Linked DNA regions of Notamacropus eugenii. The protein of the gene in region 2 interacts with the protein of the main gene of each other region in a biochemical or structural test. Links are inferred from orthologs where the notes say so. Each region holds a gene or a part of one and is shown on either strand. Other genes may lie near its edges.

What was found.
Region 1: the proteins of KIT (region 2) and KITLG form a complex in vitro, tested with the Homo sapiens proteins (3 studies listed by BioGRID and IntAct, with this or other methods). The link is inferred for Notamacropus eugenii from reciprocal best matches to the Homo sapiens genes KIT and KITLG.

The regions. Positions count from the first base shown.
Region 1 is NC_092874.1:270,541,415-270,549,242, forward strand, and holds the start of KITLG (kit ligand), read right to left. Parts: upstream 3,063-7,828; 5' UTR 2,613-3,062; coding exon 2,598-2,612; intron 1-2,597. UniProt on the Homo sapiens protein: Ligand for the receptor-type protein-tyrosine kinase KIT. Plays an essential role in the regulation of cell survival and proliferation, hematopoiesis, stem cell maintenance, gametogenesis, mast cell development, migration and function, and in melanogenesis.
Region 2 is NC_092877.1:106,134,116-106,141,536, reverse strand, and holds the start of KIT (mast/stem cell growth factor receptor Kit), read right to left. Parts: upstream 3,083-7,421; 5' UTR 2,954-3,082; coding exon 2,890-2,953; intron 1-2,889. UniProt on the Homo sapiens protein: Tyrosine-protein kinase that acts as a cell-surface receptor for the cytokine KITLG/SCF and plays an essential role in the regulation of cell survival and proliferation, hematopoiesis, stem cell maintenance, gametogenesis, mast cell development, migration and function, and in melanogenesis.

The DNA.
Region 1 (7,828 bases), on a different chromosome or scaffold from region 2:
TGGATAGAATGCCTAGTCTGGAGTCAAGAAGACTCCTCTTCCTTAGTTCAAATCTGGCCTTGGAGACTTATTAGCCGTGTGACTCTGGGCAAGTCACCTAACCCTGTTTGCCTTGGTTTCCTCATCCATAAAATGAGCTGGAAAGGGAAATGGCAAAAACACTCCAGTATCTTTGTCAAGAAAACCCCAAATGGGGGCATGAATAGTCAGCCATGACTGAAGAGCAAACATGAAGGAGGGTAGAGGGTGGATTAAGCAGATTGCCTCCAGAGTTCTATGTATGATCTCCAAACTGCTTTGTTTAAATATGAACATTTTGACCATTTTACCTTTATCAGAAGCATCTTGATCTACCAGTCTGTGCAATATGTTATTCTCATTCATAAGAGGTTCTTCTACTCTGGGAAGGAATTTCTCTGACTCACCCTCCCCCAGCTTGAGAATAAACGTATTTTAAAACCTCTTCTGTGTAAGCAACTCTTCAGACCCTATTTCTTTTCCTAACGTTTACATTTCAATAACACTTCCCAAAGATGACCCAGTAGACTATTTAATACTTTACCTTTAAGGAAAGAGAACATTAAAAATTAAGCTTCCTACATCTCTATTTAAAAAAAAAAAGTGATGATTCTATTGTCTGTGGGCTACTCCCCTCAGAAGTATCCTTTTCTCTTTAGATAATACAGAATGCCAGTCTACACTGCCTCTAGATGGATTAATGGATGGACTCAGTATTGTCCCTAGACTGAGAATTAGCAGATTTTGAAGACACCAAACTGTTCAAAGGTAAATCTCTTTCCAAGTGTAACTTAAACATGAGGAATTGTTTTTGTAGATTTCACGGACTATTACAGCTCTCACTTTTAAAACGATTTTTTTTTGAAAACAGGAAATAAACCTCTTTGCTTCCATCCCCTTCAGTTCAGAAATCATAAGCGCCTGTTTTACCCCTGGAGATAAAAAGGGGGCAGTTATAGAACATACAGCCAATATATCAGTTCTTTCACTTTGGGGTGATACAGTTAGAGTACAAAGTGGTACAAACTGTCTCTAGCCCTTCAAAATACCGGCTCAGACGACTCCTTTTAAACACTTACCAAGTAAAAAAAAAACCAACCCAGCCTTAGAGCTCAACGGTGCTATACACAGACGAAATCAACATTTGCTAACGTCCTACTACGTGTCAGGCATTATGCTAGTCGCTGAGTATACAGCTATTCAATGTTACCTCAAATTAACAACCTAATAGTCCTCTTAGACTGCGGAGAGACGGCATAGCAATATAACAAAGCTGGTAGCGGGTTGGCCTTGGCACCTGGAAGCCTCAGGTTCAAGTCCGCGCCCTGATACGCATTAGCTCCCTGACCACGAGTAAATCACTTAATCTTTCTCGGAGGCTATAAATTACACATGGGCCTAGATAGGTGGAGGCAGTTTCCTAACAGATACAATCACAGCTCCGACTAAAATTAAATAGCATTTTACAGTGTAATCTCAGGAACTCTGAGCTTTAAGGAACACACTTTTCCTTGGCTTCCTTCTCCTCCCCCCACCCCATCCCCCTCTGTCCCCGGTAGTAAGGTGGGGTGGGAATTCTTGGGGTGGTAAAAAAAAAAAAAAGTAATGCCTGGCCTTCTTGGGCAGCGTGACACAGTCACGCACATACCACACACCACACACACACACACACACACACACACCCCTATAGGTCAGCAAAACTTCTCTAGGAGCAATCAGCTGTTTCCAGGGGTTATTTCGCCACTGGGTGCGATTTTCAGGTCTACTGCACAGCTGGGTGGTGGTCCTACGCCGCAAAAGGCTAACGTATTTCAAAAGTCTGAGAAAGGGAATCTGGGGCGCTACAAGCTCTGCTCTTTGCAGGCAGACTGCTTTAGGACGCCTCTGACCTGCTCAGACTTAGGGAGTGTGCAAAGATAGGTGTGTGGTGTGTGTTTATGTGTGTGTGTGTGTGCGTGTGCATGCGTGTGAGTGTGTGCGCGTGTGAATGTGTTTGTCTGGGGTGCGGGGATTTCGTTTCATAACCTGCTGGGATCCATGTGGAGATTTCCCTCTGGAAAATCAACGTCTTCCCTAGCCAACTTTTAACGTCGCTTTGGAAAGATCGGAGACCGGAGCTCCAACCTTTCAGAAAAAGATCTCTTCTGATAACCAGTCTCCCGTTCTTTTCCAAACTTAAAAAAGGGACTTGGCTCTCCAATCAATCGATCGATCTGTCAACAGGCACGCATTCATTAAGTGCCTACTACGCGCCAGGGACCGAGAAAATTCCTGGGGAGGCAAATGCAAAGAATGCAACAATCTCAGCTCTCTGGGAGCTTGGGCTCTCAATGCACTGTGCACATTCCAAGTCTTTCGCCTTGGGGTTCCTGAGCTCGGCACCTCCATCCTTCTCCTGCTCCTTCTCTTTCTCACGACCAACACCTTCCCCTGGGTGGTGGAAGGGAGGAAGGGTTCCAAATCCCAGCCGAGGTGCTCAGATTCTCCCTACCCTGGGGCACGCACACCCCCCGGCCTCTCCCTCCAGCCCGGTCCCCAGCCCAAGGGGGCACGAGGCGCGGGACGCGTCCTCTACTTACTTGTGTCTTCTTCATAAGGAACGACAGCGCTGCAATCCAGCCCAGGCAGCGGCGGGGAAACTCCGTTTAGCTGTTCTGTGGCTCCAGCATATTGCTCCGGGCGCGGCGGAGGCGGCGGCAGCTGCAGCGGAGGCAGCGGCGGCTGCGGAGAAGCGGAGGGGGCAGCGGCGGCGGCGGCAGCAGCAGATTGTGCACGCATTGGGCAGCCCCGAGCGCTGCGCCCTCAGCTCCAGCCAGGTTCGCCGCCCGCCCCCGCCCGCGGCGCTCGCTCGCTCGCTCTCTCGCTCGCTCCCGGCCAGTCGCCGCGCGAGGCAGTAAGTGAAGCCGGAGCCGGCGCCGGGCCAGCGCTTTTATAGCTCCAGTCAGCCTGCTCCTCCAGCAGCGGCGGCGGGAGCTGCAGGACGGGCTGGCGGGCGGGCGGGCAGGCAGGACACGCCTTCTTCCCTCTGGGAGCTTTGGAAAGGCGAGCGCAGCGGCTGCGAGCAGAGGAGGCTGGATGGGAGGGGAGGGTGGATGGGTGGGGGAGGCCCCTGGGAGGGGGGGGGAAGAGGAGGGTAGGAAAGGGGTGGGAGGGCTGTAAGAACTCCAGTCGGTGAGAGAGAAGTTGGACAAATTAGGCCAAGCTCATCCCATTGCCAGCGAAGGTAACCCGATCCCATCTTTCTTGGGCACGCACTGGCAAGGAGGCTACCCGCGAACAGAATGCGGGAAGGGTTAGAAGCAAGGGGACGCGAAGCTGGTGCCCGCTGCTGCTGCTGCTGGGGCTGCCCCCCGGGACAGCCGCTGAGCCGAGAAGGAGCTACCCTTGCCCTCGGCCCCCAGTGCCCTCCCCCGGGCTTCGGGAGGCTCCCAGGCTCACCTGTCACCTCTTGGGGACAGAGAAGATTCCAAGGAACGCCACTGTTCACAGCTCGCCCACTCCTGGAACCTGCTCTTTCCTCAACGGAGGGTTAAAGCTTTCCATCTCCGCATCGAAAGCCAGCAAAAGATCCTCTCGGCCTTTTACTAATAATAAGCTTTAAAAAGTAAAAGTAAAGTGGGCCCCGAGGACAGTCAGAGTACCAGGATTACTAACACTATAGGAAATGAATTTTACTTAGAGTGAAACAGACTTCCCAAGGCTTTCTAACTTGTCCCTTTTCTAGACTGCTGTTATCGGGATTTTAGTTTATTGTCAGGATGATTTACATATTAAATTTAGGTTTGTTTTTTTTTTTTAGCTTTTTAAAGAATGTGGAGAAAATGGTGTATAAAAGTTCTCTTACAGAAAATGATCTACGTCAATTTGGAAAGAAATTACACAGCCAGAGAGTTTGAAAATAGAAAAAAAAATCCCACCTACTTTAGATATACTTGTATGCATAAGAACAGGGCTCCCCTATGGCATGTAAGAGCCTTGAGGACAGTCTCTTTCATTGGTCTTTCTATCACAAACACCTTAAGTCAGTCAACAGACATTTTGATGGTAAGCCAAGGATACAGAAAAAGGTTCCTGAACCACACTGAGTTCACAGTCGGGGGAGGCCACGGGGGAGATGACCAGAAAACAATTATGTATACATACGATATATACGGATTAAATTGGAGGTGTCCCCAGAGGGAAGGCTCTGGCATTGAGGGGTACCTGAAAAGATTGCTTGTAGAGAGGGAGATTTTAGCAGAGACTTGAACGAAGCCAGGAGGGGGAGGTAAGAGGCAGAGGACCCCAGGTCTGGGAGATTCCAGTGGAAAATCGGGAGACGCAAATGTCTTTTGAGGGGAACAGCAAAAAGGCCATTTTCAATGGACCAGGAATGCACAGAGGGGTTATAAGGCTATAAGAAGTCTGGAAAAGTAGGAGAGGTCAGCTTATAAAGAGTTTTCAAACACGGTATTTTATATTACAGTTCCTGGCTCACACGTTCATCTCTTAAAATATCTGACTTCCTTCAAAACTCAGCTCAAAAAAGCCCCTTTCCTGCCCCCACCACCCCAACATCCTTCCCCTGCCTCCCTCGGCTGCTAAAGCCTTCTCCTTAAGGTGACCTGCAATCTGCTCCGTATGTACCCCACGGGTATCAACGTATTCAAAAGTCTATCCATTTAGGAAGTTCGCTCCCTGAGGGGACTGTTGACCACGTTTCTGTGTTTCCCCAACCCTAAACCAGCGCATTACACATTGTAAGACTTTGAGCAATGCCTGTTAGCTTGATAACTGGTTTATGATCAATTGATTGGCCTGACCTTTCTTTTCACAATCTTGGGAGAATGAAAAAAAAGTGCAAATGTATCATGCATGGGGCATTAACTTTAGGGAATCAGGAAAAGTCCTCTGAAGAAAGTGACCAGGGAAGTGAGGCCAGGGGTTCTTAATCTGGGTTCCCTGACCTTTTTTTTGGTAATATATGTTGATAACTTTTCCATTACAATTGGTTTCCTTTATAACTCTATGTATTTTATTTTATACATGTAAAAACATAATTATGAGAACAGTTCCTTAGATTTCACCAGGTTGACAAAAGGATCCATGATATTCAATCAACATGAATTTATTAATTACCTACTATGTGACGGACATTGTGCTAAGTGCAAAAAAAAAAAAAAAAGGTTTTTGAGAGCTCACTACCTTCATTTTTCAAAGGGATTAAATTAAACCCCTAGAGGTTAAATGATTTGCCCAAGGTCATCCAGGTGGTAATTATTTGAGCTGAGAATGAACCCAGGTCCTCTGATTTCCAATCTGCCTCTTATTCTACTGTGGCATGCTACGGCTTCTATCCCTTCATACATGGTCAATTTAGAAAAATCTGGTTAATATGGTTTATATTTTGTTTACTCAGAATGAATTTAGGGAACACCTGCTAGGACCAGACAAGAAGAAACCAAAGAAATCTCAAAGGCCCCGTAAAGAGGTTAAAGGAGGAATTGAATTCTCAGCTCTGCTATTATGGGTTCCTCATCCAATTATTTTTCTACGCCTTTGTTGCCCCAGCTGGAAGGATGCCTCCCGCTCCGCAGTTAGGAAAATTAATGTTTGCAAAAAGAATTCTTCCAGGAAAAAGGGAAGAGTATTACATGATTACTCTAACTTTTAGTTTAAAAGGCATATATTGTCAAGCAATTTAGAAATAGATCAGAAGGTTGACTGAGATGTCTTATTACTGAATTCAAATGGATGTCTTTCTGTCTCTGTGTGTCTCTGTCTTTATTTCTGTCTCTTTGTCTCTGCCCCGCTCTGTCTCTCAGTGTGTATCTGATTCTCTCTCATTGTATTCGTAGATCTATCTCTGCCTCTCTGTGCCTTCTGTGTTTCTTTCCGTCTTTGTTCCTGTCTCATTCTTTCTGTCTCTGTATATTTCTGTTTTTGTCTATCAACATCTCTGCCTCTCCTTCTCTGTCTCTCTCTTTCTCTCTTTGTCTCTCTGTCTCTGCCTCTCCATCTGTCTCTGTCCCTGTCTCTCTCTCCCCTGCTTTTTCTTTACCTCCCTCCAAATCCCTATTTTTATCAGACTTTGTGGATTTTATAGACATTCAGGAATATGTACTTCAACCCATTTAAAAATTGGAGGAAAAGGTGCCTCTGGATATTGTGAATTGAGGAGTAGAATGGTAAAATGAACGGGGCACTGGATTTGCAATCAGGAAGCTTTGGATTTCAGAGACCTCACCCCAGTCCCTTACCAGCTGTGAGACCCAGGACAAGTTTATTAATATCTCTGAGCCCCAGACAACTCCCTAGGATTTATCTTCTAAAATCAGAGAGTAGAGGGAATTCCCCAGAAGGATGAGGGGTTTCTGTGTGGATCTGGGTGATGCTAGCCAGCTAAACACAACCTTAATGCAATCATTCTCCCCAGGTACCATATGTTTCGAGTTTACATTGCTAGAATACCCCTATCAACTTCTTTCCAAAAAAGTGCCATGTCTGAGTCCATCACTGTGGTAATTAGAAAATGGGAAGACATTAAAAAATGTGGCTATTTTTCTGAGTCCTCCAATCTAACCTTTGAGAATGAACCCCCCTTCCCCCTTCTCCCTCTCTCCTTCCCTCAGTCTTCCCCTCTCCTCTTCTTTCCTCTCTCTGTCTTTTCTCGCCTCCTCTTTCTCCTCTGTCTCTTTTCTTTCTCTTTCTCATCTCCTTCCCTCTCTCTCTCTCTCTCTCTCTTTTTCCCTCCTCTTTTTTCTTCTTTCTCTCCTCTGTGTCTCTCTCCCCTCTTTCCCATCTCTCTCTTCTCTTCTCTGTCTCCCTCTATGTCTCTCTCTCTCTCTCTCTCTTTCTCTCTCTCTCTCTCTCTCTCTCTCTCTCTCTCTCTCTCTCTCCCCTTACCACTCTACTCTGTTCATAAAGGCATCTGTGGCCCTCCATTGTCCTGAGGGTAAGATACAAATTCTTCATTTGGATATTTAAAGCTCTTACCAATCCTACAAAGTCTTTCATCCTACCCCTCCAAGTATTTGTACAACCTATATCGGATATGTGGAATGCCTTCCCCACTCACTTCTTCAAATCCCAGGCTCCCTTCAAGGTTTTACTCAAGTGCCATTTCCTTTAAGAGGTCTTTTCTGATTCTCCTAGTTGTTAATGACCTCCTTCCAATCACTGTGCATTTATTTCATATATAACCTATCCTGTATTTACCTATCTGTCAACCTGTTTCCTTCCTCCCCAGAATGTAAGGTGGTTGCTGTTCAGTCATGACTAACTTTTGTGACCCCCATTTGGGAATTTTCTTGGCAGAGATACTGGAGTGGTTTGCCATTTCCTTCTCCAGTTCATTTTACACAAGAGGAAACCGAGGCAAAGAGGATTAAGTGACTTGCCCAGGGCCACACAGCTAGTAAATTAGGCTGGATTTGAACACATGTCTTCCTGACTCTGAGCCCAACACTATCCACTGTACCACCAAGCTGACCCAGAAGATAAAATACTTGAGGGCAAAGATTATTTTACTTTTATCTTTATATTACATATCTAGGACAGTATCTGGAACATAGAAGGTGCTTCATGAATGCTTGTTGATTGATTGATTACATAGAATAAATTTAATCTCTTTTTCCCACAAGACAGCTATTCCTATTCTGTTGCACAGTCTTTAAACATCACCTTTCCACATACATTCACATACTACCACCAAGCCATTGATTCTGCAAGCTATATTTCCCCAGCTTCTTTAACTATTTCAAATTTGACATATCTGCTAATTTCTCTCTCCATCTAAATTACCCTCATCTGGTCCTGATCTAGTTAATAA
Region 2 (7,421 bases):
GAATGTAAATTATGTTTTGTCGTAAAAGTGGGTACACCCCAAGAGTTAAGAACTACTTTGTTTTGTTTTAAATTTCTAAGAAAACTTCTAAGAAATGTACCCTCCCATTTTCTGGGAGGGAATTATGTTGTTTTGGGAATTATGTTAGGCACAAATATAAAATTGGGCAAAATGAAATTTAAGGCAAAGGTAGACCGACAGACTTTAGTTCGAATATAACAAACACTGTATCCAAATCTAATGCAAGAAGAATTTTAGGATCCAGTATATGTAAGGAACAAAGCTGGGCTGAAATGACAAAAAGCCCCTGACCTCAAGAAACATATTCTAATTGGAATGCAAGAGATTCTAAGGAAAAGAATGGGGGAGTAGAAAGGGAGAGGTGTAGAATGGAGTTAGGTAAACTGTCTTCCTTTTTCATATCCATCATGTTTTCAGCAGTCCCAGAATATCTTCTGTCCTCTGTCTCTGGATGGTTCTTGCCCAACACCGCAGCAGCGGCAGGAAGAGGGACCTTATGATTCACTGCTGCTGCTGGCAGTTTCATCCTGCTTCTGACATTAATTCGGGTAGAAAGCTGCATCAATGCACACACACACACAGAGACAGAGACACACACACACACACACACACACACACACACACACACACACACACACACACACACACACACACACACACACACTTTTCTTACCACCTAAAGGAAAGAACACCAGGAGATCCAACCCTGCAGGGAGAGAGGCTGGAGTAGAGTTGGGAGTCTGAGGCACCAGGTAAAAAATTGGGGGGGGGGGGCCTCTGTATACATCAAGTGTATCAGAGGACATACATTAGTTCTGAGCCCAGGTGACGAAGAGAGGCTGGAAAAAAAAATTCGCTATGCAAAAAAGTATATTGAAAGAGGCAAAGTATCAAGCAGGAGAGGAAATTGACTTCACAGAGGACCCCAAATAGACACTGTTCTGGCTTGGCTGGCTGTCAGCAGAGCTCTGCTGAGATCTAGCTGTCCTCTCCAAGGGCACCGAGGGGGCTCAACTGCTAAGGCTAGATGCTCCGAATGCGTCAGGGAACCCAGTCCGGCGTTTCCATCCCAGTCCAGATGAGGACAAGAGTCCGGAGCGCCGAGGTCTCTCCTCCCCCCACAGGAAAAGCTTTACAATGCCGAAAAACAAACATCTGAGCGGGCACGCTAAGCTTTTACAAGTTGCAGGGAAACTCCGACCCAGTGCCTCTGGTGTTTTCATTCATTCCCACAATAGCGAGTAAATGGCTGAATTCCCTTTTCCTGACCTCAGTCAGATCGGAGGGGGCAGCAAAGCTTTCCATTCACCCTCACACACTAAAAGCCCACGTTTAGCTCTTTTATTTTCATCTTTCAGGTTGCACAAAGGGAATGGAAGCAAAACTCCCTCCTCTCCCGGGAGGTGGTGGAATATAGGTGAGGAATGCCTCATTTATCACGGTCAGGAATGGTCAACATATGTTACTTAGCTGTTACCTTCTTTGTTGGAGAAGGAATGGGTTTTTTTGAGCATTTTTTTAAAGGACACTCTTAAGAACTAGGGTCCTAAGGACCATTTACCACCAGACGGCCACCCAATGCGGGGAGAGGCAGGGAGAGGATGGTGCAGATTAGCAGGCGCTCCATAGATATTTGCAGCATCGAGGGATCAAGGTTCCCTCCAAGTTCCAAACCGCTGCCTGTCGGTGCATGGGGACTTTCCTAGAATCCGCCTTTAATACTAGATCAAAATGTGCTTTTTGGCGTCTCCTCCTACTATCCCACTTGCTGCGCGCCAGTTTCCCTCTTGGGAATCCCTAGATATCCTAAGAATCCAGGGGGCCGAGGAGGCACCGGCCGCAGGTCCCTCCCGCAGCCCAGCGCCGGTGCCTCGTCCTTCCACTGGGAGCGCGCGCCGCTTTAAGTTGGGGAGCGCACCGGGTAAATGGCTCAGCGCCTTCCCTCCTCCCGCGCGGGAGCCAAAGCGCAGGACCCAGCGGCCCCCTCCCACCGCGTCTGGAAGGAGGAAAGGCGGGAGGGATGAATGAGCCTTGCAGCCACCCCAGCAAGGAAGTGGGACGGGATTATTATTATTTTTAAGTCTGCAGCCTCCTTTATGGACACCTCTGGCCGCAGGATGTGCAGCCCCAGACCCGCACGCTGCGGGTTCCCAAGGTTAAACACCAAAGGAGCGTGCAGTTCATTTCCAAAGGCCAGAAGAGGGGGACGGTCCGGAGGTACGCCGGCCACCGCGGTGGGTGACTGCAGGAACCAAAGGGTCTGCCTCAGTCCGTCCCCTGTCCTTCCACACCCGCGTTCCCCCGGCACAAAGGGTGCCCGAGGCTTTGCACAGCAGGCAGAGGCGGCTGGAGGCCAGGAAAGAGCCCAGGAGGGCCAACTTTCCCTTTCCACCGAGCCCAGAACCTGCTGGACTCGGACGCGCCGGCCGCAGACAACTTTCAACAAAAGGAAGCTGCGGCCGAACGCCTTCCAACGTGGAGAGCTCCAGTTTCACGATCCATCCCCCGGCCCTCCGCACCCACGAGCTCCACACAAAAGAAATCCAAAGGCACCCCCGCGTCCGTCCCCCGCAGCCCCCTCTGGCCCAGACTCACTCCCGGTGGCTCCCTCTCAGCTCCACCCGGCCCAAACGCTTTGTTTCTGCCCAAGGGAGCAGGTACACCCTCCTAAGCGCAAGTAAAAGGCTCGGGAAACCCAAAGGGAAGTCTCATGCGTGCCTACCCCTCCAGAGCCCTCCGGACCCGGGGCGCACGAGAACCGCCAGGACCTTCACACGCTCCCCCGGAGCACAGGTTTTGCAAGGTGGATAACATTCCCAGGAAAAATAAGAGGGGGCAGAAGGTGCGTGTAGGTAGCAGCTAACCCACCTGTCTGAAAGCTCAGCAGAATCAGGAGACCCAGCAAATCCCAGGCACCAGGAGCCCCGCTCATCCTGCAGCTGCTCGGGGTCGGAGCTCAGCTCCGCGGTCCTCCTGCAGTCCAAATGCACCCAGCGCGGCACACCAGCGAAGCCCCCGGAGCTGGGAGCCGGGCGAGCAGAGGATAGCCAAGGAGAGCAGCCCCTCCTCCAGCGCCCTCCCCCTGCGCGGCGGCCACGCCCCTCCTGGCTCCCCTCCTCTCCCTCTCCCTCTCTCTCTTCCTCTGGCTCTCTCCCACTTCTAACCCCTGCCAGCCCCCCGCTCGGCTCCCTCTCTCTAGACGTGCGCACTCCCGATCCGGGAGGAGGTCACGATTGGACACCTTCTCCCGCCCCCTTCCAGTCCTCCGGAGCCGCCTTCACCTTTCCTCGGCTGGGCTGTGGTCTGGACGCCGGAGGTGTTTACCGGACTAGGACTGCCTTGCCCGAGTGCTTGGTGAAGCCATTGCCCTGCCCGGCACCACCTGCTAATGAGCCATCGGGGCGGGTGCCTCCACCTGGCAGGTGCTCACTCAGACAATAAGGCTGCTAGGCGCCCGGGCTAGGGACCTGTTCTGGGCTCAGCCCCTGACCAGAATCCCAAACTGACCACTGCAGTTCTCTGCCAGTTCAAGTCATCCGAGGAGGAGGAGGCTGGGAGCCAAACCTTATCTACACTTCCAGTGCCAAGCACAATGGTTGAGAGGGCAAGGCGCTCGATTTAAAATTTAAAAAAAACAAACAAACAACTGATGTTAATTTTCTCCAACTGTATTGTTGGAGGGAAAATGTTCGCTTCTAAACTCGAGGGCTTAACTCTAGCCCGGGAAGCCCCTGCGCTACACTGAGGGCTACGTTTCCGAGATTGGAGTGGGAAAAGGGATTTTTGTAAAGTGTGGGGAGAAGAGAGGATTAAAATGATTGCTCCAAGCCATCCTGAACCCCCTCTTCTTCTGTTGTCTTGTTTCTTAACCCCTTCACAATGGTCACTGTTCCCTATTGACAAAGAGGACCATGCCCATTTCTACGGTCTTTTCAGCATTTTCTCCCACCTTTCAGACTTGAGAGAACAGTACGATTATAATGAGGGAGGCTGGAGGGCTTCTAGCACCTTCCTGTCTATGGACCTTCCAATTCAGGCAAAAATTATCCCACATCCCACGTCCACAATCTCAGGGGATAGTAAGTAAGTGTAGAGAAAGAATGCCCAGACACTCAAATGGGTCAGTGATCTCTCCCTAATGAGGTGCAAATCTCAACTCATTCATGCCTGCTCACCCTCCTCACCTCTTTTCTTCCCATAAATTTGCTACAGAAGTCCAGTCAACATGGGGGGGTTAGGGTGAAAGTTAGGTTAAGGTTTAGGATTAGTGTTATAACATATGCATACATATTTGGTAATTTAGCAAGAACAGAAAGAAAAGAAAACCCATGTATATAATATGTGACTATCTAGAAGGGTCCTAACTGTAAATACCCAGGTTCTAAAATAATGCATTTTTGAACCTAGAATGATTTAACTGATGATCAATTAAAAAACAAAACTTCTTTCTCCCAGAGGAGCACTAGATTAAAGCTGGCTTCATTTAGATGAAGAACCTGCTGCCCATAAAGGTTAGGATTACAAAGGCAGTCAAATCAATAACATTAATTAAGATCTTACTGTGTACAGGGAAGTAAAGTAAGAGCTAGGATTCTAACGCAGGTCCTAGGATCTCCTCCTATAAAATAAGCAGATCTAGTAACCAAATTTGAAAAAAACAGCAAAAATGAAATAACATTTTCTGTTTTGTACATTTTTTTTTCTCTCAAGATGACAGAAAGGCTCGAAGCAATCATGAGTTCCTGGGACCTTGATTTATTTTTTTAAATCCTTCCAGTTTAGGTATGACATGTAGTGGGAGAGGAAAGATAGATGCAAGTTAAAATATCAATATTATGCCTGAGAATAAAAGAAATAAGTTGCAATTTTCTTTCTCCATCAGCTGATGCTGGAGGGAGAGTGAGTAAGTAAGCGAGACATTGCAATCAAGTTCCTGGCAGGACCCTTCTAGCAGAAAAATTCTCAACATGGGCATTATGCAAGGCTGAACTGCTGCCTATCTGACTCACTTTTAATTTGTTCTTTTTATCTGCTTAGCCGGGTGAGGGTTTCTGAGGCACGATCACAACAGATTATAGTCACTTCTCTACACCTGCACCAAGAAATCTGCTAGAATATGCAAATGTCTTGAAGAACACATATACATAAAATTCATAAAATGGGAAATTCTGAGCAAACTACATAAAAATGAGAAACGTGGAGGTATTCATGTATAGGATGTTCTTAAGAATTATTTGCATAATTTTATAATCCAAACTTTTATATCTACCTATTCCAGGAGCCACAAAAATAATAAAATAATTAAACTGATATTTATATGGCATCTGAAAATTTGCAAAAAAAAAAAAGTTTACACCTATTATTTCATTTGAGCCTTGCAACAACCCTGTGAGGTAAGGTGTACAGGTATTATTATTATTGGGATGGAGGAAACTCAGGCTTAGAGAAATTACTTTCCCATGATCACCTGAGGTATTACAGAAAATTAATCTATTATAAATGAAGTCAAATTAAATATGAGGCTGGGTAAACCAAGACATATAATCTGGTTAATCCAAGATGAAAGGCATATACAGATAATTAAAGCAGTGAAACTGACATTTGGGTGTGATCAGTCACAGGTATCACTACTATATAGATATACTTGTATTTTACCTTTTCCCTCCCTTGGACTTCAGCCCGCGTCATTCTTGTCACAGATCATAGGATCATAGATTTACATCTATAAGAAACTTTAGATAACTCATCAGTCCTGCACTTAATTTAGTGGTAGATCTGGTCACTTTTATAAAGCATATTTCAGTATATTTGCATCACAAAGCTAAAATGAATGGAGAGGTTCTTTGCATTATATAACATATCTGATGAAGTCAATTTGGTTAGGTTTTTGGGGGTTGGTTTTTTTGGTCAGTTAGTTGTGTCGGACTCTTCATGACCCCATTTGAGGCTTTCCCAGCAAAGATACAGGAGTGGTTTTCCATTTCCTTCTCCAGCTTGTTGTACAGATGAGGAAACTGAGGCAAACAGGATTAAGTGACTTGCCCAGGGTCACACAGGTAGCAAGTATCGGAGGCCAATCTTGAATTCAGGTCGTCCTGACTCCAGAGTTGGCAACAAATATATGTTCATGAATTATAAGATCATAGAATGCTAAAAGGGACTTCAAAGGCCATCCAATACAACTCAATTTACTCAATTTCACCTCCTATGGGCAAGATATTATACTGGGCACTATTTGCCTAATATAAAGAATAATTTATAATAAAGGATAATTTCCTGACTTCAAGGAGCCATGATCATATATGATCATAGCTACAGAGTTGAAAGGAACCTTAGTGATTCCCCAGTTCAACCCCATCATTTAACAGATAAGGAAAACAAGGCACAGAGAGATTTTTGCCCAGTCATGCAGGTACTAAATGGCAAAGCAAGGATGGCAATCCTGGTTGTTTGGCTACAAACACAATCTTCTTATCTTCCATTGACATAGATTATAACCACTCCAATACTTCAGGAGTGAATTATCTCCATGGATTTCTGTGGCCAAAGAAAACCCATCCCTAGTAGCCAAACTCCTGGTGATGTGCTAGGCTTATAGGATAGGTCCTTGAGGACAAGTCATTACTAGGCCCAGATCTGAAGCTAGTCCAACCTGCCAGACCTCCTTGAGGTTGTGGTCTGTTGGAATAGCCTTCAAGGATCCAGGATAACCTATGAAACTTTGGAATAAGACTTTAATCAAAGATCTTGTGTGTGTGTGTGTGTGTGTGTGTGTGTGTGTGTGTGTGTGTGTGGTGTGTGCATCATGCGCCAGCCTGGCAATCTAGTGACACCTAAGGACTTCACTGAATAATGTTTTTAAATAAATGAAGGAAATAATAAATTTCAGTTAGATGTTAGTAAAAATAAAGATAATTTTTTTCTCCCATCCAAGTTCATAGAGTCCCTGAAATCTATCATCAGACACTCATGATCTGTGAATCTCAGACCTTTAAAATCCCCTAACTTAAAGCATTGCCTCTTATCGAAAGTCTAGTAATTATCTCAACTGTAGTCCTATTCAGATACATCACTGTGGTTCAGGACTGACCTGGGTTCTTGAAAGTTATGCCAAGTGAGCAGGAAAGAAAGTTGTTCAAACATGCCTGACTCTGGTGAGGGCTAGAAAGGTACAGGAACCCCAAGACTGGAGTTCAGTTTGTTGGTCATCTTGAAAGAATTCATGGACTCAAGCATTCTAAAGGTCAAGGTGGTAAAAATTTATTACACTTTTCAGGGGGTAAGAGTTCTTCGGGAACCTGAGACCTTAGAGGGGTACAATTAAAGTTTATATAGGATTTTCTATAGTAAAACATAGGCCAAACGTGCTCACTAGGTGATTCAGGGTGGGATTAGGGAGT